Mytilus edulis: one gene and its partner. The protein of the gene in region 2 purifies or fractionates together with the protein of the main gene of each other region. This does not show direct contact. Links are inferred from orthologs where the notes say so. Each region holds a gene or a part of one and is shown on either strand. Other genes may lie near its edges.

Region 1 (13,539 bases), on a different chromosome or scaffold from region 2:
TAAATGTTTACTTTTAACAAACTGCTGTTAACTTTTAATATGCTAGTTCTGAATTTTTGTCCTAAATCAAATTTAAAAACACAGATTTCAATGGCAAGAGTTAGCATTTATCATTTGTTTAAGCATGAAGTTTCTTTGAAAATTTAAAAATTAAGGATTGCTGAAAAATAACATGTCCGACAAATGACAATTGACCCAATTTTTTTTAACTGACTTTAATCATTTAAATAGAACATGTTAAATTATATTAGGGCACTTTGAATGGAAATAAATTGACTTTTAATATAAATAGCATACTACATATACAAGTACACAAACATAATGATGTATTATATATAACATGTATAACAAATACAGTATATCTTTCTACAACAGACAATGACAGAAGCACAGCCACCAATTTTTAATAGTTTAATGATTTCAATATCATTAACATGAAAATTGATGAATGTTAAAAGACTAGATACTTATTTAATTTGCTGTCAGCAATCTGACTGTCTGACAATGTAATTTTCCTTGGTCATGTTGGTACCAGTTTCATTGTTGTAAACCAATGTCCTGGCTTTTCAGGTTTTTTTTTTTAAAGTTTTGTGTAGGGATTATTATTATCATGATTATTATGCTTTCATAATACCAAACATGTGTCGTGTGTCGACTGTCTAATTTTGTACATACAGACAAAACTATTATGATCATGACAATCATGACAATACTATAACATTGTCAATCATTTACCTATCTGTTTTCTATACTGGTCTACTGGACCTGCCCTTACGCCAGCTGCATCTTTCTTACCCATAATCCTCTAACACACCATCTTACCAACCAGAATCTAAAATCGAGATAATCATCATGTCAAATCATGACAATATAAAACCTGAGTCTGATTAAAAAGACCATAGCAACAGACAGGCCATGATGTGTTGTACACCATACTTATTATTTTATCCTCTGACCTGATGACCTTTGAGCCTTGACATTGTAAATTCAGAAATTATTACAAGGTTTGTATTAATCAGAATATTGTGAGTATTAACAGATGTAATTAATATTGTCACATAACAAATCATTTCAGTTGCCCAATATCCTCAAATAATTTTTTTCACTTAGGCCAGTCATGCCAGTAGACCATGGTGTAGGCAGTATAATTCCTTGATCCTTTAATTAAAATTAGCCAAACTTATGGCCATCAATTGTTCATTTGTTGTTTAAATTTTGTCTGTTTGTTTTTGCTCTCACATAATAGTGACATTGTTGTACAATGTAGAAGTTAGAATTATACATTTAAAACCAGGTTTAATCCAATATTTTCTACATAAGGAATTGCCAGTACATGTGTACCAAGTCATGCATGTGTTCCATTTATTTGATGTGTTTGAACTTTTAATTTTGTCATTTGAAAAGGGAATTTCAAATTTGATTTTTCCTTGTGTTTGGTTTTGTTATACTTGTAATTCTACCTTTTACAATTTGATATTTAAATAAATACATTCAATGTACAGTGTTCCAGCTAGGATTTCAAAAGGGCAGGGTGCCAATCCTGAAAAAGGGCATTTAATTTATGATAATATGAAAAGGGCATGTTTTTATAAAGATATTAATCAAACATTGTGTTTATTCCTTGAAATCATTGGTTATACAAGAACTACATCATTAGCCCACATAGAATCATATTCAAAACAGTGTAGCTGTGGCCATTGATTGACAACCTTAAATTATCCCATTGACTGGGGCAGATTAGGTGAACGTGTGTCTGTAAGGACAACTGCTCACTACTTACTTATTATAGAATTGAAACTGTGGGGTCACCAAAGGTTCTTAACGCCTTTAATTTTAAAATAGTTCGAAAAATTAATCAGGAATAACTTTATGTTTTGATTTATATTATTGATATAAATCAAAACTTCGTGTTATTCCTGATTAGTTTTTCTAATTTCTTTATTTAGGTGTTTAGAACCTTTTGTGACCCCACAGTTTAAGTGCCTTTAACAAGTACATAGTGAGCAGCGGTTGTTACAGACAAACGTTCACATAATCTGCCCCAGTCAATGGGATAATTTAAGGTTGTCAATCAATGGCCACAGCTACACTGTTTTGAATATGATTCTAGAACTCTATCTTTCTACTTTTTAGGCTGAAAAACTTGTCAAGCAGCTTGTCACACAAGTTTTTAAATCATTGCTTGGCACATTTAAGCTTTATATGCAGCATGTTTAGAAAAGTGTCCTGCTTCATTCTGTTTCTATGTTCTGACACACCTTACCAGTTTCACCTTTCTACCTATGCTGTGCTTAATGGCAATACAACACAAAACAGCTGTGCCCAGTAAATGCACAATGTTATATAAATTAGGATATAGCAACAGTGAAAATTTGTATTAAAAATAAAGAAAACAGAAACAGATGACCAAGGCACCCTACTAACACTGCTACTAAGACCCTCTTTGACTTTTCCCATTTAACTCAAACTACCTAAACATATATATTCTTAAGCAAGAAGTATGTAGACATATTTTAGAATATATGTTAAGTGGTTTACTCAATGCTAGGGAAAAAAATCAGATTGAGTTATCTTTCTTTATTCATGTGCTCCTTCTTTGGAGGATTATAAACAGTACTTAGAAAATCTATGTAAAAATTATCAAACAATAGACCACTTTCGAGTTCATCCGTCACCGGAAAAATATTGTAAATTATGTGCGCCTTTATGACATCATTTACCAGATATAGGGGGTTGCCTGTATCCCTGCACTATTTACGTCCATCAAGCGTCTTAGTGATCATCATTGTGCAGGATAAACTAGAAATAATGGTTGTTCTGTAGATACTTAATGACAATTCCCTGATGACAGCAGTGCTGATTGTCAATTTTGAAAATTCAATTTGCCAAATAATTCGTACAATATAGAATTATAGTTTCCCAACCGCTCGCTCAACATTGGAATGGAAGTGACGACACCCCTAAATGCACAATTGACGTACACTAAAACCAGAGTTTTTGACGGAAATGTATCGAACTCGAAAGTTGTCTATTATATTGCGGCCGACTTTGTTATTTTCGTATAAAAAATGAGGGCAGTCAATGAATTTGCTATTTATTTCACAGAGAACAAGTAAAACGATGTCTTCCATGACTTGATTGTGGTTTTCAACTTTCTGTCATTACGTTTTCTCCATGAAACTACGGTAAACATTGCAAATTTTGCCCAAGTTGTCGTATGCACATTTCTTCAAAGATAATTGCCGACTGACTGATCCTATTTAAGGAGGCTCGAGGGTATAAGATTTTCAGAAAAATTTTTTAAACATTAATTTTTCATTACAATTTTATTGATTACCTCAAGTAGCTGTTACTTTATCATATGGTACAAAAATCATTCCAAAAAAATCAATTCGTGTTGGCCCCAGCGGACTTTTAAAATGTAGATATCATTGAAAAAGCTCCAAATTATCTCCCCTTGGTGCAAAAATGCCATTTTTTGGCATTAAAATTGAAATATCTTTTTTAGCTCATCAGTGAGCTATATTTTTTATTGTTGTTTTTGAATAATCTGTACATAAACTAAACAATTGTAAAATTTAGTAATTAGCGGATCATATCAATACGAACAAAATAATATATATACAATCGATCTTCAAAAAAGGCAGGGATCCCTGGAAACTGTAAAAAGGGCACAAGGCGGCACTCGGGAAAGGGGCGGGCGCCCTCTGAAAACGGCCTAGCTGGAACACTGACATGACTGATGTACAATTAGTTAGTAAAACAAATAACATGAATAAGTACACAGTCATGCAAAAGAAAGCATTTATTCAACAACCATGCATGCCTGCCATGTCAGCAGAGTTCACTTTGTTCATGTTGTTAGCTTGTTTGTTTAAATCTACATGTACTTGATCACAACACAGATGCATGCATTTTCACAAAATTAATAAAAGTCTTGCATTGTTAGTCAGAAAAAAATATATACATGCATGCAGTATAAGAAAGAAAACACATACTCTTTTACAGTGTTTCCATTGCAGAGTTATTTTTTTAATGGAAAGTTGGAGCCTCATAGTTAAAAAAATTACTTGTGCAAATCTAAAATGTCCAGTAATTATTTGTTAATTATTCCTATAATATATGCCTTCGCATTACATATATTCACTATTTAACGTTTTCATGCTGATATTTTCATTTTTTATTTTTTGTCTAATGCGGGTTGCACATTGATATTAAAAAAAAACATCAGAACAGTAAATAGAAATAGTAAATAATGCCCCGGAGGTCATATGTTATACAGTAGGGGTTACACTAAAGATCTGAAAGTGGACCTGAAAAGACCTGAAAATATACGACTAAAATTATTCAAATTGCAATAACTTTTTTATTATTGGATGGAATTTCTTCAAGTTGTAATTTTATTAATTGTAAATATTCATATTTCATTAAAATTTAAATGTTTGAAATTAAAAATCAATTTTTCGATTCCAAAAGTTGGACCTGAACGGAGAAATGAAGACCTGAAGGGACCTGAAAATCTATGTCGGACTAATTCTAACTACAATAACTTTTTTAATATTCAATAGATATCTTTCAACTTTTGATTTCGAGAAACAAAAAGTTCAATATAATGATAACATAAACATGATAAAAAAAAAATATGTGAAAAATATTGTTGGGGTGTCAAAACTCGGACCTGAACGGAAAATTAAAATTCTGAATGAGCCTAAAATTCCACATTTTTTTTGAAACGAAAATAATAAACATAGACGAAAAATATGGTTGATAACTTTTCATGTTCGATGTAATTTGGTCTCTTGTAGTGATCTGTCTCATTGGTATCACACCACATCTTACTAATTTTTATTGACGGAAGATACTATAATATGGTACGCAAAACTGATACAAGTAAAAAAAGACGGAAGATACCAAAGAATAATCAAAACTCGGATGTCAAAACTTATCAGTCAAAGAGACATAATATACCATAGAAATAAATAATTCAGACAAAGGTTTGGTGTCTTTAAACTACGATAACCCCGTCACAATTTTTGTGGTGTCCCAAGTCTGGAACCTGCACTTTGTGACAAACGTCGGACCTACTGAATGAAAAATGAAGTCCTGAATGAACCTGGATATATAAAGTTAAAATATCACTCTGGTAAAGCATGTTGGTTGTTTGGCAACTCCTGATCTGAATTCACTAATTATTGGATATATGCTTAAATTTTTAATTTGTAAAGTTTATACTTGAATTGGTGACTGAGCAATGTTTAGTTCATTTCTTGCTTAAAACTTATCATGCTTATTGATTTTTTGGGGGTTCGTATGGATAGCTAGTAAACCCAGCAAATTTGTAACAAACCCCTCATGATCATGCCCTGTGATCCAAGTATGTATGGAGCTGTTTTAAATGCGGGAAGAAAAAGAGCAAGAACAAGGATTTTTTAGATTTTAATCTCATTGAATTTGCAATTTATTAACTCATTTTTTAAGTGTGATCAATAATGGTCCATAGTCACCCTACCTGCAAAACTACCTGTATCAAAACTGCAAAATGACAAATATTTAGAAAATGTGCCATTTTTCGTGGAAAGGCGTACTTTGTTAAATTTGATTGGTTCTCTTGATATGCATTTTCTTTCTTAAATATAGCATGCAAACAAATGTGGGCACAGAATCTACATTTTCGTATTTACTTATAAAAACTTCTTCACATGGTCCACATCACCAAGTTGAGTTATCTCCCCTTTCAATCCAGGCTGGTCCATTTGTATTGATACCGATATTTTTGATACTTTTATGGACAGAGTTAAAGGAATATAAAAGAGTGTTTTTCAGCTGTAACATTTTTCACACTTGCTATTTATAAAACCAACATATTTAATACTATTCTAAAATCTAAATGAATGACAAATGGAATAATCCAATATGGCTGCCCCCATGAATGTCAATATGTGGAGCACCAAAAATTGCTGAAAACGTTTTTTGCTGCATACTCTCATACACAACACTTGCTTAGATGTTCTTGTTTCTAGGTAAAATCTTGTTGGTATTCCATCACTGAGACATCAGTCATATTCATACTCATGAAAGCTGACTCCAGAACTAAAAAAAACCCATTCATTCTCATCTTATACTCAAGTTATAGAAAGTCTTACTAAACAAATCCTTGCTCTCATATAGGCACATTCATACATCTAAGGACATTCAGTATGCAGATATTGATGATTTCCGAGTACAATACCACCAGGGGCGGGTCCAGGTGCACGGCACATAGTCATCAATATTATGATGGAGTGCGGAAACTAAAAGAAGAGAAGAAGGTGGGGACGTGATGGGCGTAACCCCCCCCCCCCCTTTAAAAAAAACAACCAATCATAATCATCTTATATTGTGTATTGAACATGGTGATTGAATGTAGTCATTAAATAAACACATACTCTTAAACTATAAAAAAAAAAAACATACTTTTTTTCTTTTTTTTCTGTGGTGCCTTCCTATGAGACCTACGATGTACATTTGTAGTAAGGCGTCACAGGAAAAAAAATAAACTTAAGTTCCAGACGTCATAATTATTTGGACTAATCAATCATGTCAATGATGTATTCATCATATAAATTATATGAGGGTGGTAAACATGGTAAAGGGGGTTTGTGAACATGGAAACATGTGAAATAAAAATTGCCAAAACATTGCATAGAAAATAAAAATTTGTAAAAATGAAGCACCAGAAACAAAATCGTTAATATTAATGATATTTTTTTAGAAGTTATGACTCAGTCAATTTAGGAGATCATGCTGTCATTATTAATAGAAATGAAGACCCCTGTTGTCAACTTTTAGCGTCTGTTAGTTGCATCTGATTTGAAACATATATTATCATGATTATTAATAGCAATTTCATGTATTTTATTGCCTACCATACAAAGACAATATCCAGGCCGCCTATAGATTAGTCTGGTTTACCTTGGAGTCAAATGCAGGACAAACAAGAATAAATAAAGAGTACGAACACGAAACACGGGATAAAAATAAGGCGAAAAATGAAGCACACACATCAACATGATCAAACCAAACACGAGAAATAAAATGTAAAAATACGAAAACATATGCAATAATAAGTCTGAAAATGTTGCACGAAAATAATCCTTTACCACCCTTTTGTATAATATTTTCCAGTGTTCTTATAGATGATTTTTATATACAGATTGATAGAAATGATAGATGGCCTTTTCCATATCCGCCAGGGTATCATCCTGAAACCTGCATACATTGTATCTTGTGTAGAGTTGTCTTGTTGGCAATCATACCACATCTTCTTTTTTATATATCAACCTGTGATATTAGTTGAGGGCTAAAATATGGGTCAAAATTTGATTTACAAAGGCTGATAATGGCAATATGGAAAAGGCATAGTCATTATAAATTATGATCCAAATAATTATTAATTATTTGGATTAGAAAAGACCAAGTCTCATTTTAATATATCATATACAAATGTACATGTACTAGTAAATATGGTATTGAAATATGAATGTACCCATGCTGATAACCCCATATCAGCCTGAGGCCTGACCATGTGAAGTTACATATGGCTGATATGGGTTATCAGCCTGGGTGTGAATTTTATAATGGCTAGCTACATGTAGTAAAGATAAGATAAGATAAGATAAATAATAGTTTATTAAAGTGTCAAATATTGATCTACATTAAAATGCATAGCAACATCATAAAAAAAAGGATCAATACCCAGCCTATAAAGACTTACGAGACACAGTAGTGAACTTCACCTCGTTCCACATATATGCAAAAACTATCTGTCATATTAATAGAAATAAGAAGATTTGGTATGACTCTATGACTATGAGCATGATGAGTGCCAATGAGACAACTCTCTATGTACATGATCTAAGTCACAATGTGTAAAAAGTAAACAATTATAGGTCAAAATACGGCCATTAACACAGAGCCTTGGCTCAGACGGAACAGCAAGTTCCATGTATTAAGTGGCCCCAATTTAGAATATAAAAAAAAACACAAGTTTAGTATTAAAGCACAATACTTTATTTTGTTATCATGGTTATTCATATATGGTCCGAGTACACAGTTATTTTGTAGTGCATTTCTTTTAGACAATAAATGAAAATTAAAAAAATCCCACCTGCGCTTTCTCAATAATATTTTTACAGTGTGTTGTACTACTTTTGGGACAAATTATATCAAAATAATAGAAAACTCCATCAGCTCTAACTCAAAATATGGACAATTTTATGTTAAGGGGGTCTTGAAATCTTTTGACAGCTTCCGAAGTGCTAATTTTGGACCTTTTTAAGCTGGACCTAATCACTACTTTACATTAATATTTATGACCCAAATTTTTTTACAGTGTCATTCCAACCACCAACTTGCTATATGAGGCATAAAACATGGAAAAATAAATTTGGAAGGGGTATAACAAAAATTGGCAAGTAACACACTGTCCACACTAAGGACTATATTCGTGGACAACGAAAATCAAAGGACGATAACTGTGTACTCGGACCATATATACATGTACATGTGTGATAAATCCTACATGATTAGCATGTTATTACTTTATACTGTATATTATATATATATATTTTTTCAGGATGTTAGTCAGAAGAATTTATTCTATTGTGAAGATCAGTGGTTCATTCAGATCACTTACATCTGTGTCACAAGTAACGAAGACAATAAGCTCAAATATTTGTAGAAGATGTTTTCACAGGTATTACAGTGTCCAAGCCACACAAGATCTGCCACAGCCTGTCTTTCTTCAGGCAGAGAAGTATCCAAACAAAGTTGCGATAATAGACCAACATGGTAGCTTTAAATACCAGGATCTTTTACATTATAGTAAAACACTTTCACAGGAAATTATAGATCAAGTCAATGGTAATAGCAAGCATAAAACTCTTCCAGAAAATACCCATGTGGCATTCCTATGTGACAATGATGTATCTTATGTTGTGGCACAATGGGCCACATGGATGGCAGGAGGTGTGGCAGTTCCACTTTGTAAAAGTCATCCACAAAATGAATTAGAATATGTTATCCAAGATGCACAATGTTCAATAGTTTTAACCACAGCAGACCACCTTTATAAAATAGAACCTATAACAAAAAAATTAAGCATTCCACTCAGAGTATTAGAGAAGGAAAACTATACTGGATATTATGAAGCTGATCAGAATGCTTGGTTTATTGATAGACAAACAAGTTTAGATTGTAAAAATCTGGTCAAACATAACCGCTATAAAAACCAGTCAAGCTTGATTATATATACTAGTGGAACCACAGGGAGACCTAAGGTACATAGAATAAATAGTTATAAGCCCAAAAAATATGTATTTGTTTCTTGCTTCCCGACTTGAGTGAAAAAATTGATGTTGGTAAAAAAAAATAGTTTACATGGACCATATGTTAACAATGACTAGACTCTTAACCATGTTAACTGTGAATCTGTGATTAACCAAAAAATTACCATAAAAACAGTATACACGAAGGCATTAAAATTTAGTTATATGTTTGTTGAGAGACAGGAAACTGCGAGAACTGAATTATTCCTTCAACTGATGTATTCCTCCTACAATCCTGACAATAATCAAAAGGTTTACTTGTAATGTTAGAGTTGTCTCTCTTTCCTTGTTGGGGAGATTTGATGCTGCAAATTATTGTTATTAATTATTAATTCAACTGATTTTTTTTTTTTAAAAGAAATTAAAATTCTTTTAGTGATTTGTTACCCTTGATATGTTTTTTCTAGTTAAATGGTTGATAAGCATGATAAGAACTTAATATTGTGCATTTTTGTTTCAGGGTGTGGTACTGACATTTGGAAATATTCACTGTAACATTACAGGAATGATGTCAGCTTGGGAATGGACGTCTAACGATGTGATATTACATGTATTACCCTTGCATCATGTGCATGGTGTAGTTAATGCATTAATGGTACCATTATACTGTGGGGCAACATGTGTTATGTTGCCCAAGTTTGATGAAAAAGTGGTAAGAAAGCTTTCAGTCTTAAAACTATATTTTAAAATTGAGAATGGAATTGGGGAATATGTCAAGAAGACAACAACCTGACCAAAGAGCAGATAACAGCCAAAGGCCACCAATACCCCTTATCACCATTTGTCCGCCATTACTGCATATCACACAGGTTCCCGTAAAATTTTGACGTCATAAAACAAAATATCTGACATCACAATGGAAAAGTGATTGTTGTATGCGTCAAAAGTTCAAGTGGCCGGGTCAGCAGGGATTAGCGATAAGGTGTATTGCAAAGGGTCTTCAACGCAGTAAGAAAATCCAGCACCTGAGGTGGGCCTTAGCTGACCCAAAACCAAAAATGTGTACTAGTTCAGTGAAAATGGACTCCATAGTAAACTTAAAAAAATATATATGAACTAAAATTTAAAAAAATATATAGGCCTACCAAGGCCAGAGGCTCCTGACTTGTGACAGGTGCAAAAATGAGGTGGGGTTAAACATGTTTTGTGAGATCTCAATGTATTGTATGCATGTGTTGCCATTCATATGATGGGTATTGAACAGGTACAACACCAGCTGGCAAGTGGAACAATGTTAATTATACATTGAGTTTGATAAAGTAAAACATTACACATGAGTAGTTAGAGTTTCATACTGTCTTCAGAAATATGAAAAAGCATCAACTTTTTTTGTAAGAAACATCTTGAACTGTTGTAAAAATACATTTTATCCTTTTGGATACAGTTTAAATGTTGTGACTGGATAATTTGGAAATAGAAAGTTTACCTAAAATGAAAACAATTCAGTATAAGATAATTATGTCTCATTAACCATGTTTACATACATGTACATGACAATGATTTTTCATTTCCTATCGTTAACTATCCGTTTTTAGATGGTGACGTTCCCTTGTCACCATCTTACGGTGTTTATATATCTCAACTTGTACGATTCGCTCGTGTATGTAACAATGTTTTAGATTTTAACGAGAGAAATTTATGTATTACTGAAAAATTATTACACCAGGGTTTTCGATATCACAAACTAGTCAAAACATTTACTAAATTTTATCATCGGTATAAAGACATCATTCGTAAATATAGCTCAACATGCAGACTTCTAATACGTTCAGGTATTTCACATCCAATTTTTTATGGAAATATTCTTTATAAAGCACAAAGGTGTCAGTATTCACCTCAGAAACTTACAAAACCTTTGAATAGACTTATTAAGAAGGGATATAATTACGATACTGTTGTCAAGTCATTAAAGATTGCATATTTTGGCTGATAAGGTCTTTGCATCGGAACTAAACACATTTATTCTAAAAACAGTTGTTGGCATGACACAGGTTATGTTCTTCTCATATATGTTATGATGGTATGATACTAAACCCCTAACGGGAAGGATTGTGCCTGATGTTCATATATCTTTCAGTCAGTTTAATTGAACTGAATTTGAATGTGCGTATTGTTATGCGTTTACTTTTCTACATTGGTTAGAGGTATAGGGGGAGGGTTGAGATCTCAGGAGCCTCTGGCCTTTGTTAGTCTTGTATTATTTTAATTTTAGTTTCTTGTGTACAATTTGGAAATTAGTATGGCGTTCATTATCACTGGACCAGTATATATTTGTTTAGGGGCCAGCTGATGGACGCCTCCGGGTGCGGGAATTTCTCGCTACATTGAAGACCTGTTGGTGACCCTCTGCTGTTGTTTTTTATTTTGGTCGGGTTGTTGTCTCTTTGACACATTCCCCATTTCCATTCTCAATTTTACATGAATAAACATTATACAATCAAACGAAGAAAGATATGTTAAACCTGGTGAACTAAAATACAATCTATACCAATTTGATTGCTTGGACAGCATGATAAAGGGAACTGAAAATGTAAATGGACATTTTTTATTTAATACAAGACTCAAGATTTCTGGCTATTTGTTTGACCAAAAGAATGAAAGCAAAATGCATTATTTCTATTTGGAAATTTTTTCCAATAGAAAGACTCATTTTATATAAATTAGTTTTTATCATAAATGTAATGAAAAATTGGACTCGCTGTCATTGATTTGTATCAACTCAATCATCATGTTATTTGTTTTAGGTTTGGGAGAAACTTGCAGTGAAAAGAAAGACAGGGATAGACATCACTATTTTTATGGCTGTGCCAACAATTTATGCCAAGTTGATAGAATACTATGAAAAAAGTGAAGAGGAGAACCAACTAGCTTCTCAGTTCCTGTCTGCCTCACTAGAAAATATAAGGTATTAAACTTTCCTGTCTCATAATTCTTACTAAATATGTTTGTTTTTAGCTTCCAATTTAAGAACATAAGACCATTTAGATGGAAGATTAAAAGATGAACATGTCTTTATTTTTATGGTTTAAAATACAGTGATTCAAGTCCCTTTTAGAACAATTTATAAAACAATAAAGTTTACACATTTTGTCATGTTGGGCCTTTTTATAGCTAACATTAGGTTATGTGATTGCTCATGATTGAAGAATGTGCTCATGATTGAAGAATGTGCTCATGATTGAAGAATGTACAGTGACCTCATGTATAGCTGGTTTAATTAACATCATTTTGATATTTGTCTCATTAACAATCAATTTTGCTTTGAACAATTTTCTACTTTTCCAAATGGGTAAAAATCATCAATAAAGGGCTATAATCCTTACACATTGTTAAAGGAGTAGAATGACACCTTCCTACGGGTGTTGATAGTAAACTCCACATTGATAGAAACAAGTGCCTGTGCAATAACTCTAAACAGTCAGATGATGATTTCAGTCTGTTTGACATATTTCTAGTCCGAGATTACTCTGACGTCCAACGGCTGTTTTGCCAGACAAGCTGGGGCCGGTCAGAGTAATCTCGGACTAACATATTTGTAGATCTTGTCATCATGATTTTGCTGTAAATTCAGGAATTTTTGATTAATCTCAAATTAAATTAACAAGGGACAAAAATGCAAGTTAGTTATTATAATTTCAGGAATTTTTGCATACAAATAAGGTACAAAAAAATTACAATGCAAATTTGTTTGTATAAAAAATCTTATTTTGTTGCAAACTTGACAATTAATAGTTGAATTGTATGAAAACGTCTCAGTTTACAGTCTAAGTTTTGTTTAGGTTAATGGTATCAGGGTCAGCTGCCTTACCAAGGACAATTATGGACAAGTGGAAGGTGATTAGTGGACATACATTACTGGAGAGATATGGGATGACTGAGCTGGGCATGGTGCTCACGAATCCATTACATGGAGAACGAATTCCTGGTAAAGTTACTTAAATAGGTAGTATAAAATACTTCATACCAAGTGCATGCTTAAGTTTGTATATTTTTATTTTTCTCAAATATTAGATTGACCCAAATAAAAACTTTGGATTCATCAATATTTGTGGGATTCCAAATTTCATGGATTATTTTAGGTTATATGATCAATGCAAGTTTCAAAATAAATAATTCACATTTAGTATAATTTTACTTTATTATCCCTACATCTCATTTCTAAGCAGAAAATAAA
Region 2 (13,234 bases):
AATATCAAAAGGCAATGCAGAAAATACTCTTTTTCTTACCATAAAGCAATATATTTATAATTCCAGATGTTTTAAAAAAAAACTGACAATAAACTCAATAAAAGAAAAGATAAAATATGTTTATGCAATGGACAAAAATATTGCTATGAAAAACAAATGTGAACATCAGTTTCTCAGAGAATGGAATGCTTTTGATATATTACTTAGCATGCTTAGTTAAGTACAAAAATGTATATACATCATGTACATGTTATAAATGAAAATGCTGTATTTCATTGTATTTACTATACTAAAATAGAATTCAATTTCTAGATGAATTATATTGAAAACTCACCACACTATTCTCTCTCACTCTCTTTCTCTTTCTATCTCTCTCTCTCCGGTGTTCAAACTGCTTTACTCTTTATCTTATATTTGTATATTTAAAAAAAAAAAAATTGCTTCTTAATAGAAAGATGTAATGATTAGATAATATCTATAGATTTATATATTATATATTGCTATTATATTTGTGTATATTATGTTGTAAATTGGAAGTTATAAATAATAAAAATTAAAAAAAAAAAGAATTCTATTACAACAAAGCAGATTACATTATCTAAAATTTGCGTTACGAAATTGGAAACCAAAGTAACGCTAGTGTTCTTACACCTGCTACTGAAATACTTATAGTTCTCGGCATTTTCTTCTGACTATTCTTATTAGTCGATGTTCTTTATTATTTGAAAGCAAAAGTTACAAATTTGCCGGTGACGATTATCTATAAATCAGTCAGCGTTATGCACTTCGGAAGCGAAAAGTAACGCGAGAAACGACACAAAAATACTGTCGTATAATCTTTGAAATTTGTTAATTTCAATTTTTTTTCTAGGGAAGAGTAGCATACACTTGTATGTTGATAAAAATAAAGGCATCTTTAGATGTAGTTACAACTTTTCTTACAGTAATACACATTTTTATCACTTTTCTATCGTTATAGGAAACGAGCCCAATAGCAAATTATGGTCCATATACAGGTTGGGAACAAACCCCCTGGATGGTGATTATACCTGTATAGAGGGATAATCCTTCTTTAGAGTGATAAAATTATCCCTCTATAGAGGGATATTTTCGTTTGCACTGGATTTAAAGCAAATTAGGGCAGAATGGCATTTTCTAGTTATATTGGCTATAATCTCTAGCATTATATGCATCAACATATGCACTTTACTAAAAATTGGGATAACCAGTTTTCTGCTAAAGTGACAAAACTTGCAATCTATTGTATACCTATCTGAACACCTGATCAACAACAAAAGGAATAGTTGACCTTTAAATTTCATGTTAAATCTAACAATAGAAATTCTGTTCAATGAGGCATAAGTGAGTAGAATTTACCTGATCATCACAGCTTTCAATCATGGTGAACAATAGATTTTATATTTAGTCAGATAACATACATGTGATTCTTCCGGCGGGAGTCAAAATCTCCCGCTTTTAAGACCCTCTTCCGTCCCTCCCGTTAAAATTTGAAATCTTCCGCTTTTTCAAAATGTCAACCTCGAAAAATTTTCAGTAGAAATTTTTGTTTACAAAATTTATACTGACAGAGAAAAAGTCCGAGAAACTCGAAATTTAGATCGAAAAAGTCCGAGAAAAACGGAAGTTTCCTTTAACTGTTTTGATGTCAAAAGGTAAATAGCCTCGAGTTATCTATGAAGGTGTTAAGGATTAGACTGTATATACAGCAATAAAAGAGTATTGGCAATTACCTGGTGATAAACTAGCAAGTTTAAGACACATGCCTGAGATAAGCATCAAACTGGGCATGTGCATATTAAATTAAGTACATCAATTGGTGCATCAACTGTTCCAGGTTACTGCCATAATAAGTAGAGAATGCCATTCTGCCCTATTTTGATTTAAATCCAGTCTAAACAAAAATACCCCTCTATAGAGGGATACATTTACCCCTCTATAGAAGGATTATCCCTCTATACAGGTATAATCACCATATACAGTTGGAAGGCAAACGCCTGAATCTGACAGATAGAGGTCAATTTGTCGACAAAAAAAGAACCCGTATGTAAAATGTTTACGCCCACAAACAGCGCCACCTATAATTTTTTCTATGGCATCTTTGAGAACGATGTCCCATTCTGTAGTAAATTAAAACATTAAATTAACTAAAACATAGAAAAGTAAGTGTAAAACACAAATTGAAAGATATATTTGCAGATGACTGTTTATGCATGATACGCTGGCAATGTGCGCAATGTCCTTTAATCCAAGACTGAAAATTAGTTTGTTTCCTACGTCAAGATGGCGGATTTCAATGTTTACATTTTTTCACCTATTTATAATCTGACAGAATTTCGTATCCAATCATTTATTAGCAATTTTATTATTGATCTTTGAAGATCATCCAATGGCATTTGCCGTTAGAAAGTGGCTACACGTTACCAGCCGTCGTTACAAAGTAGCCATGTGTTTTGTGGGGATACCTTGGGAATGTTGTGTATTCAAAAGTTACGGTAAAAATCAATGTTATCTTCCTTATATTTCCATGCATACACAATTTATAACAGCAAATACATTCTTAACAGACCCCATAACGTAAACGGACATATTTAACAGTCTGCTTGAGCAAAAATTCGTGTAAATAAGCCTGATGAGTCAAGCACAGCAAACACGTGGTAGATTGTTTATGTTTGACAGTTTGTTTACTTGAATTGCACGTTGATGTTACTATATACTTACCAATAACCTTTATGGTGTTATACTTTCAATAGTTATATAATAAATCTTACCCAAGAAATACGTCTAGGTAGGTGCAGGGACTTCTTTTACTTGGTCCTTAACTAATGAGGGTGTAATGATACATTACAGCATTTTTTGCATTTGATATATTTCATGGACATGTACATTTTGTGTACACAAAGAACAATAAATTAAATGAACGTACATGGGTTTAATTCCCACCCTAGGAATACATTTTGACTCTCATGACAGGTTGGAACAAATAGAGCAGATAGCAATTGACAATAATGTAATGCTAAAATGCTGATTGATGGGGTCAAATCATCAATATAATTTTTTCTAGTATACAGCAGCTCCTCTAAGGGTTAGTAAGGGTACTTTACTAAAAGTCCAGTGGCTAAGTCCTGTCTTTTTTGCCTCTGATATTTTCTAATTTATATTATAATTTCTAATATTCTCTTGTGCATGTAGTAAGGCAAAAGCTTTTGTTACTCTTATTTTCCTCATTTGCCTTAAAACAATGGAATGTATTAATTGTTGATGTATGTCAAGTGACTTGTAATTTAACTGTCACTGCTAACAGAGACTTGGACTCTGGTGATAAGTTTCCAGGCTGTTATGTCATTGGCAACTATACCATAAATGTCAGTTTCCCCTTTATAAGTTTTTAAGAAAAGAATTTAATTATAATATAATAATAAGTTAAAAAAAAGTTGTGAAAAGTTAAGCACAAGTGACAAATCTAATTGGCTTTTTATTCAAGAAAACCTAGAGGCATTGAAAAGTGACTGTGTTGCAATTTAAAATAAATGGTTTGAACTCAGAAAGTTATCAATATATATAGAGAGTACAGATAATGTTTAAATTGGGCATTTGGAAACATTTGCCTGTTAATTGAAGATATAATTATTATATGCCTTTTCAAATATATGTGTGGCTCTGAACTAGCTGTGGTTTAAAATCTAAGAATGGAGTTGGTTATCTCCATATTTATCTGATTTATATCAACATCATTGATCCATTATATATACACATATATAAATCATTGTAATACATGTACATTACTTTGCTCTTCATATGCCCTTTAATTTGAATAAAATATCTTGTCTTATACCACAATTATTTATTTTAGTACTGACAGGTTAACTTTTAAAAGCATTTGTAAAGTAAGTGAGTTGATGACAAGCTTAGTCAATGATTGTAAATCCAGATATCATTTTTTTTTATAAAAGTAAATAATGTGATTAAACTGGTTATCTCAATTAAAAGAACTGACATTCTGCTTTGATACTATGAGATTATTTCTGATATCAGAATAATAAATTTCTTTTTGAACTTTGTCCTTTTTCAAAAAAATTCTGAACATACTGTATTTAAGTGAAGTCAGTTTTGTTTTTGTTTAAGACTACTATAACATGGGAGGTGACCACAATCTCTATGTTATACATTGAAGTAGTCTCAGGTTTTTGTAGTTCAATTGACTATGCATTTTAGTGCAGGTAAATGTGAATTTGGATTAAATTTGAAGTTGATTCAGTATATCTAATGACATAATACCACTATTTTATTTCAACTAAGCATTTTCAAATTTTATTTACTGGTCAGCTGATGTTATTATCCAATCAATAATTGATTATCAAGCACTTAACAGTTGGTTGCAGGACTTTTGAATTCAAATATAAGAAAGAAGAAAAAATATAAAGCAAAACTTCAAATATTTATACATATAACAGGATTTATGATAACTGCAGGATATATCAGATTACAATACAGCTTTTGTTCAGTGATCTTTGTGTTGATTATTATGTTTTAAATCCCTTTCTGGTTCTTTGAATGTTCAGATTTTTTCTCTTGATTAAGGCAAGCAACAGAACTTGTACAACTTATGTAGTTTCTTATCTCAGGGTGAATCCAGAAAATTTTAAACATAAGTGGTGGTATTCTCAACTAAGGATAAAAAGGAGGGTTCCAACTATATGCATGATCCCATTCAAATGCATTAATCTGCCATAAAAAGAGGAGGTTCCAATCATCATCATCTGCAACTGTATCTTAAAGCAGCTATAATAAAACAAAAATTGTACATGTACTTCTGGCTACTTCAGATTGATTTTATTTTCAATCTATGGTAATGGTAACAATTTTGAAGACTATATACATGTATTTCCTTTTTTCCCCCATATTTTTGTTTAAATGTAATCTTCTGCTTCTGCTTCTATTGTTACACAGGTTCTTCTGACAAATGACTGATAAACCCATCTTGTATCCTTGTATCTACTAAAAGGGTGTTTGAGAATATATACAATATATTCAAGTTTCAGAGAGTCAGTCTGATATAAAATGTTGGTAAGTGTCTTCTTTGGAAGTGTTCAAAAACCTGTAAGAACTTGAACTTCCATGACTATTTTAATGTTTAACAGTAGAGGAACATGGAATATTGAACGGTATTCAAGAACTCGTCGAAATAGATCTGCAATCATTAATTTTACTCATATTTACTATTGTGAACTTGCAATTTCCTACGATGCGCGTACCGAGTTATCTCCCTTTGATCTCCGCTTCGCCACGAATAATCTGACAGAATTGCGTATCCGGGGTTTTTGTGATCTGATATTGTAATATTAGGAGCAAAAAATGGTTTTACTTCATATTTTATACCTCTCAACACGTTACCAAACCTATTTAAGGATTTATTAAGGATTTTCCGTGGACCTACGCAAATTTTCCGAAAAAAAGTTTCACTTTGCTCGTGAATTTATAACATTTTAACAATACTTTTTTATTATAATTATATAAAATAAGAAAGCTTATTCAATCTAGAATTGAACACTTTGGTTTTTATTAATGTACGAGTACAAATAAGACGATACGAGTCTAAAAACCACGAGGCATGCACGTTTACAAAAAAATCGTAAACTCTGACCTTTTATCACGTGACCAATGTCTTGAACTTAGAAGCCATTAAATCGTTTGCCGTTCAACTGATATAGAGGGTTTGTTCCCAACCTGATATATAGAACAAAATGTCTATCTTCAGTCTTGCTGCACAGACCTCGCCATATTTTGTCACTTTTATGAGAGTTTTAAATTATTTACATTTGAATACTTTTATCTTTATAATATTGTTGATATTTGCTTAATTAATAATTGTAATTTATTATAATAAACTATGAATTGCTAGTGTTAGATTCTACAAAGCCAGATATAAAGGATCAGAGACTCAGGAGTCCGATACCTACTCTTTACACGGTCTGGGGTATAATATGTAAAAGTTGACTAAGAAAAATTATGGAAAAAAAATAATACGCAATGTAAAAAGTTTTCAACCAAGTGCCGAAGTGGCAGTTCTTGTCATTGGAACACATTCTTTTCGCACAAACATTTTGCAAAAAATACAATGATGCATGCAGGATGACACGCCTGTTTTTGACGGCTGGGGATTTGTTTTTTGAATTCTTACTTGAAATTTCAACACAACACAAAACAATTTTGCAGAGGTTTGCGATTTTTCAAAACAATGTAAACAGACAAATTTATCTTTAAAAAGGAGAGCGAAAAGTTATAAAAACCTGAGTGCAATCCCGAGAATCTACCCAAATCTCACAAGATATTAAGGGAAATTTACATAGTAGTGTTAGTAAGTAAGAAAGTAAGTAAGTAAGACAATTTTATTCAGAGTCGTCATATATATACACAATAACAGACAAAACATGAGCTCTGGTGAGCTCTTTAACCGACTATTGTAACGGTTTATTTCTTCCTATGGGATATTTTATCCTGTGGATAATTTGTCCCGGTAATTTTTTTCCAGGCATGGTATTTCACAGGTTGATTTTTTCCAGAGGAGTGAAAATCTATCTGTGTTATGCGGATAGTATGTACCGGTATATATTTGTGAAAAACAATCTATTTTTTTCGCGACAAGTCGAAAACAATTTTTTTCTTTCAATTTTAGCATTACATATAGTGGCAGCTGAGGGTGAAACAAACATTTTTTTTTTCTCAGAATCAAAAACAAATTATTTTTTTCTCCAAAAACTGGAAACAAACTTTTTTTTCCAAAAAAAAACCATAGCCCCATCCCCCTGATATACCTGACTATAATTATAAAATGTTTCACAAAGGTAGACCAAATTTGCATAATTTATCAAAGGGAGATAATTATGAGCAATTTATATTTTAAAGATATTAATATAATACATTTCTGAATCTATTTTATAGTGTTTGTCCTTGAATCTTATTTTTTTATATATTTATTTATATAAAAAGTTGACTTACAACTTGATTTAATAAGACAGATAACATTTCACAGGTAAAAACTATCCAGCTGTTAAACATGCTTTTGTTCAAATATATTGTTATGCTATGATTTATCTGATTTCCATATAATCAACAACTACATCTCTGTCCCCAGACAAAACTATTTATATAGTTAAAAATATCATCATAATCAAATTCTTCTATTACTGTTAACAGTAGTAATGCAACTATATTTCTACCTTACTTTTAAATTTATATTTGTACTGAGATCTGAAAACAACTCACTTTTACATGTATTTCACTAACCTTATTTAATCATGATATTATTTTCACAATAAGGATCTTTGAAATTACTTCTGGTTTTCTTCCCTATGTTTCATGATAATTTTTTTTTTAAAAGGATGATATTGACTTGAATATTTCAGGAAATTTTTTCACGGATAATTTGTGAAATTATTTCCCATTATAATACATTTTTTTTAACAATTTCGCTTTATTTCAAATACACTATTATTATTTCATAGTATTTTTAAAGGATAAGTTTTTTCTAATAACTATTCAATAAGATAACTACCCAGATAGAATTTCACGGCAAAGGAAAAAAGATCCCAGGGAAATATATTCCACCGGATAAAAAAATAACAACAACTACTGTGACATTTTTTCCTCCGGATCAAATTTCACCCGGATTTAATTTTGCTTTACACTATCACATAAACAAATCATGCAGCTTCATGCAAATACTATCAAATAAAAATGAAAAAAGCATGCAAGTATAATGGAAGCAAATATATTTGATCTGTGAGCCTCCCGAGTCAAAGTTCATTTGGCAAGCGCCTCTATGTGCATTGAACAGGGGAGTCGGCAAATCACTTGAAAATCATTAAATAATACAAATACAAATATTTTTATTGGCACAAACTCATTAACAATAAATGGTTATGACCTATGCCATTACATATAACTATAATAATTGACATGGTAGAATGAAAGGTTCCATGATAACATATCATGCTATTATGAAAAGTTACAAAATGATGTATCATATAAGATCACTATTTCTTATATTAAGACACTCTGATATGAAAGAGGAAGACAGTCTAGTAATAATGCTGAGCTATTATTAACCAATAGAGATATTTTTTCATCAATGGTAATGTTACGCTGTATTTGAAATATAACATTTATTTTATTTTCCAATATTTCTCGCTTTGAGGTAAATCTATTACATTTTAATAAGAAATGTTTTTCATCCTCATTTTCCCAATTTTTACAGACAGGACAGTTATAATCTTTCCTCTCTAGGAATATTAATTAGATGTCTTCCCCTTTCAATCATTAAAGGATGTGCACTTGTGCATATTTTGCATATTGCTGCTCTATCATTTAAATTGTTTAGTGAATCAACAAGATATGAATATCCTAATTTGTGTAAAATGCACGAAGTTTTAAGGATACAGGGGTTTTAAAATCTTGTGGAACAGAAATTTTGATTTACAAGTGTATTTTCTGATGAAAGTATATGCTCTAAAAAATTTATGCTTGAAAAAACAATTTTATTTTTGAGTGGAATTCTACCAAGCTCAGCATGACAAGCATCATTTGAAGCATAATAACAGACTAAAAGCATAAAAACAATAAATAAATAAATGTAAGCACTAGCATTTAGTGGCAGATACATTCAATAAATGCATAAAAGCAGAGCAAAAGGCCATTATAAAAAGAAAGAAAGAAATTTCAGCTTTGAGACAGCACTGGATGGAAACGACATGAACTGCTGTTACATTTTTGACCCCCACACCAGGAATTTATATAATTCCTAAACTGGTCAAAAGAAGTCATGAGTCTAGCCTCATTAGGAATGGAGTTCCATACTTGTGCTGCCTCAAATCTAAAGGATCTTTTACCATAACTTGAGATTCTAGGTCTAGGTACCTCAGTTATCATTCACATACCTGAAATTATATGAATTGTTTTTTATTACAACTAAATCTTGAATAAATAAAGGACATTTTTTATTAATTATATCAAAGGTCTCCAATGCAATTGAGGGCATTCTACGAGTTTTTTTATGATGGAAGGTTTGAAATCTGCAGGAGTGTTTCGTATGAGCTCTGATGGTCTCATAAATATTGTCAACACTGCTTTTAAATTAAAATGTAAACTCTACTTAGGAAACAACAATTTAACTTCTAGTGGGGTTTTTGTTTAAATTTGTAAAAAAAAATATTCTGAATGCCAATTCCCTACATACCTTAAGTATAGTGTAAAATTTTGAAAAAATAATCTAATTGATCGTGAAAAAAATTCTGACTAAAAATAAAACATAAACCCCCTTGAAGTTAAATGGTTGCTCCCAGTGGTGGATATCGAAATTTTCATTAGTGGGGACCCACTGACTGCCTAAGAGGGGGCCCATTCCAGTGATTCCCTGTATAATCAACCAAATTTTTCACAGAAAAGGGGGGCCTCTGGCTCCCTTAGCAGAACACAAAAAGCTAGGTTTTGATAAGACAAATATATTTAATATAATTCATGTGAGAAAAAAAAAATATTTTGGGAAAAATTAATTACAACTGGTAAATTTAAATGTTCCAATCATATAATCAATTTTACAATCTGGTTGACCAGCAGGCAAAGGTAAACCGCAATACTAAGCTTTGGTCACGTCGCAGTAAAATTTTAAATAAAACCAGCATATTGGGATGACGTTTGACAAAATTATATATTCCACCAAGAAAAAATTAAAGAAAGCAACATTAATATTGTCATCTCTTGTTTATAACTCAGTCTGGCCAGAATTGTTGACTTTTTGTTTTTCCATTGTGTTTCAGACTAACTTATTTAAAATTCGTACAAATATGGAACACACAACTTTTTTTCAAGAAGACAGCTTTGTTAACAATAAACCAGCTGTTATACTTTTTGTTGTTTTCAATTCCTCGTCGTCTTTATGTAATTTTCCACTTTCTTGAGGTGCAGCAAGCTTTAGATCTGCATATATACTGTTAGACAAAATAAGTGTATAACTGCTTCTGGAGTTGGTAAACCAGATATATACAATATTAGGTCAATGTCAGGAAAATATAAACTGTTTTGTATGAGACTGAGAAACTGGGAAAAGGCAAGGTTCTACCGAGCCCTCCCAGTTATGTCAACTTTTCATGAAGCAAATGCGGGCATGAGATTTGGCCAAAATTGAAAAGATCAAAGAGAAAAAACAATAGATCAAAGTAAAATTCCACCAAAAAATCATAAACATGCTTGAGTCTAACGCTAAATGCCTGAGACTTGGCAGCCCTGCCCTTCTCCAGTTTTGCATGAGTAAAACATTTTTTTATACTTTTATGAAATTGACCTAATATTGTTTTTATGCTGCAACATAAATTATTACACTGCATGAGAGCTTTTTAAATCGTAACACAAATGTCAAACTTATTTTCATCACTTAATGGACCCCTAATTGTGGAGAAAGTGTTCCATGATGAAATTGACATTATACAAAATATAGCTATGTTACTATATTTAGGAAATTAGCACAACAAGTTGCAGTATAAAATGTGTATTGGTGGATTTGCTTTGTTTACAGATTCTTTTTAGCCATGCCATTGTCCTTTTATTTCTAACTTGTGAGTTTTAATGTTCCTTTAGCCCAGCTCCTTTTTAGCTCACCTGACCTGAAAGGTCAAGTGAGCTTTTCTCATCACTTGGCGTCCGTCGTCTGTAAACTTTTACAAAAATCTTCTCCTCTGAAACTACTTGGCCAAATTCTACCAAACTTGGCCACAATCATCCTTGGGGTATCTAGTTTAAAAAATGTGTGGCGTGACCCGTCAAACCTACCAAGATGGCCGCCATGGCTAAAAATAGAACATAGGGGTAAAATGCAGTTTTTGGCTTATAACTCAAAAACCAAAGCATTTAGAGCAAATCTGACGGGGTAAATTTGTTGATCAGGTCAAGATCTATCTGCCCTGAAATTTTCAGACGAATCGGACAACCTGTTGTTGGGTTGCTGCCTCTGAAATGGTTATTTTAAGGAAATTTTGCAGTTTTTGGTTATTATCTTGAATACTATTATAGATAGAGATAAACTGTAAACAGCAATAATGTTCAGCAAAGTAAGACCTACAAATAAGTCAACATGACCAAAATGGTCAGTCGACCCTTTAAGGAGTTATTGCCCTTTATAGTAAATTTTTAACAACTTTTCGTCATTTTTTGTTACTTTTCTAAAAATCTTCTTCTCTGAAACTACTTTGCCAAATTTAACCAAACTTGGCCACAATTATCATTGTGTTTTACAATTTATAAAATGTGTACGATGACCCAGCCTACCAAACAAAATGGCCGACATGGCTAAAATTACCGGTAGAACATAGTGGTAAAATTGCTTTATATCTTTGAAACTAAGACATTTAGGGCAAATCTTTCAAGATTTTAATGTCCATCAGAATAAGATATATCCCCTCACAAATTTTCAATTGAATCGGACAACCTGTTGTCGGGTTGCTGCCCTAAAATTGGTGATTTTAAGGAAATTTTGCAGTTTTTGGTTATTATCTTGAATACTATTATAGATAGAGATAAACTGTAAACAGCAATAATGTTCAGCAAAGTAAGATCTACAAATAAGTCAGCATGATCAAAATTGTTAGAGGACCCCTTAAGGAGTTATTGCCCTTTATAGTCAATATTGAACAACTTTTCGTCATTTTTGTAACTTGTATAAAAATCATTTCTAAAACTACTTGGCCAAATTTAACCAAACTTGGCCACAATCATAATACTAGGGTATCTTTTTTTTTTAAAAGTGTCTAATGACCCCGCCTACTAACGAAGATGGCCAACATCTGAAAACACATTAACAGGTGAGCGACACAGGCTCTTGAGAGCCTCTAGTTACAGGTAATTAGAGAATTGTTTGATTATCCTCTTATTTTATTTTTTGGATGTAAAATTTGGCAGTAGAAATTCTAAACTATAACATAATTGGAAATACACTATTTTTGGCACGTTCATTTTTTTGTACATAAATAAGGCTGTTAGTTTTCTCATTTTGATTTGTTTTACATGGTCATTTCAGGGCCTTTTATAGCTGACTATACGGTAAGGGGTTTGCTAATTGTTGAAGGTGGTACAGTGACCTATAGTTGTTAATTTCTGTGTCATTTTGGTCACTTGTGGAGAGTTGTCTCACTGGCAATCATACCACATCTTCTTTTTTTTATATTATGGCAGTCAAAGGGACTAAACAGTTCTTTCAGTCTAATCCTATATGCAATAAACAATAAGCCAGTAATGATCTTCTGCCTTGTCCCCCAGGTTATTCATCAATTGAATGTCCTGATGTCTTTTTAGAACCTGTTAGATGATGAAAGACAACTATAGATTCTAAATGATGCTAATAGCTTATACGGTGAGCCTAAAATATTGTTCTCTTTTGCTATGTTTCTATGAAGTATATAAACTCTGGTATTTTTATTTCTCAAGACTTAGTAATCAAACATTAGGTGAAAGTCTTGGCCAAGTGTGTTTGTATTCCAATGAACACTTCATTGATCAGAAGTGATCATAAAATGTACCTTCCATTGGAAATAGATATTGTCATTAGAAACCTATCAAGCAACTTTTCAATTGGATCAAAATGTAGGCAAAAAAATGGTCAGTTTGTATAACAATAAGAATGCACATTTTCTATGAGATATAAATTCAGGTATCAAATTTGAACTTTGAACAAACAGATGTAAACCAGTATACTTCTTTATTTGGAGTCTGGTTTTAACTGCTATAAAAAGACTGATTGACAAAATGTGTATCTAATTGGCATTTTTCTTCTGTATTTACAGGGAATAAAAATTGAGAACTGACTGCAAAAAGTTGCATAGTGCACCTGTCCTAAGTCAGGAATCTGATGTACAGTAGTTGTCTTCTGTTTATGTAGTTCATACATGTTTCTCATTTCTCCTTTTTATATAGATTAGACCATTGGTTTTCCTGTTTGAATGGTTTTACACTAGTCATGTTTGGGGCCCTTTATAGCTTGCTGTTCCATTTGAGCCAAGACTCCGTGTTGAAGGATGTACCTTGACTTAAAATGGTTTACTTTTATAAATTTTTACTTGGATGGAGATTTGTCTCATTGGCACACATACAACATCTTCCTATATATCTATATATCATACAGATAATAGTGCACACAGCTGCTATTTGTGGAACCATTATCATCTCAGAT

Evidence for each region.
Region 1: the proteins of DNA ligase 3-like (region 2) and bifunctional polynucleotide phosphatase/kinase-like purify together in Homo sapiens (co-immunoprecipitation; 5 studies listed by BioGRID and IntAct, with this or other methods). This does not show direct contact. The link is inferred for Mytilus edulis from reciprocal best matches to the Homo sapiens genes LIG3 and PNKP.

What each region holds. Positions count from the first base shown.
Region 1 is NC_092348.1:24,552,651-24,566,189, forward strand, and holds the start of bifunctional polynucleotide phosphatase/kinase-like, read right to left. Parts: upstream 5,805-13,539; 5' UTR 5,682-5,804; exon of another isoform or gene 5,510-5,681; intron 5,144-5,509; exon of another isoform or gene 5,125-5,143; intron 833-5,124; 5' UTR 736-832; intron 1-735. Other genes in the region: malonate--CoA ligase ACSF3, mitochondrial-like, read left to right, coding at 8,616-9,317, 9,826-10,017, 12,110-12,270, 13,145-13,290. UniProt on the Homo sapiens protein: Plays a key role in the repair of DNA damage, functioning as part of both the non-homologous end-joining (NHEJ) and base excision repair (BER) pathways.
Region 2 is NC_092356.1:45,823,609-45,836,842, reverse strand, and holds the start of DNA ligase 3-like, read right to left. Parts: upstream 6,290-13,234; 5' UTR 6,200-6,289; intron 1-6,199. UniProt on the Homo sapiens protein: Isoform 3 functions as a heterodimer with DNA-repair protein XRCC1 in the nucleus and can correct defective DNA strand-break repair and sister chromatid exchange following treatment with ionizing radiation and alkylating agents.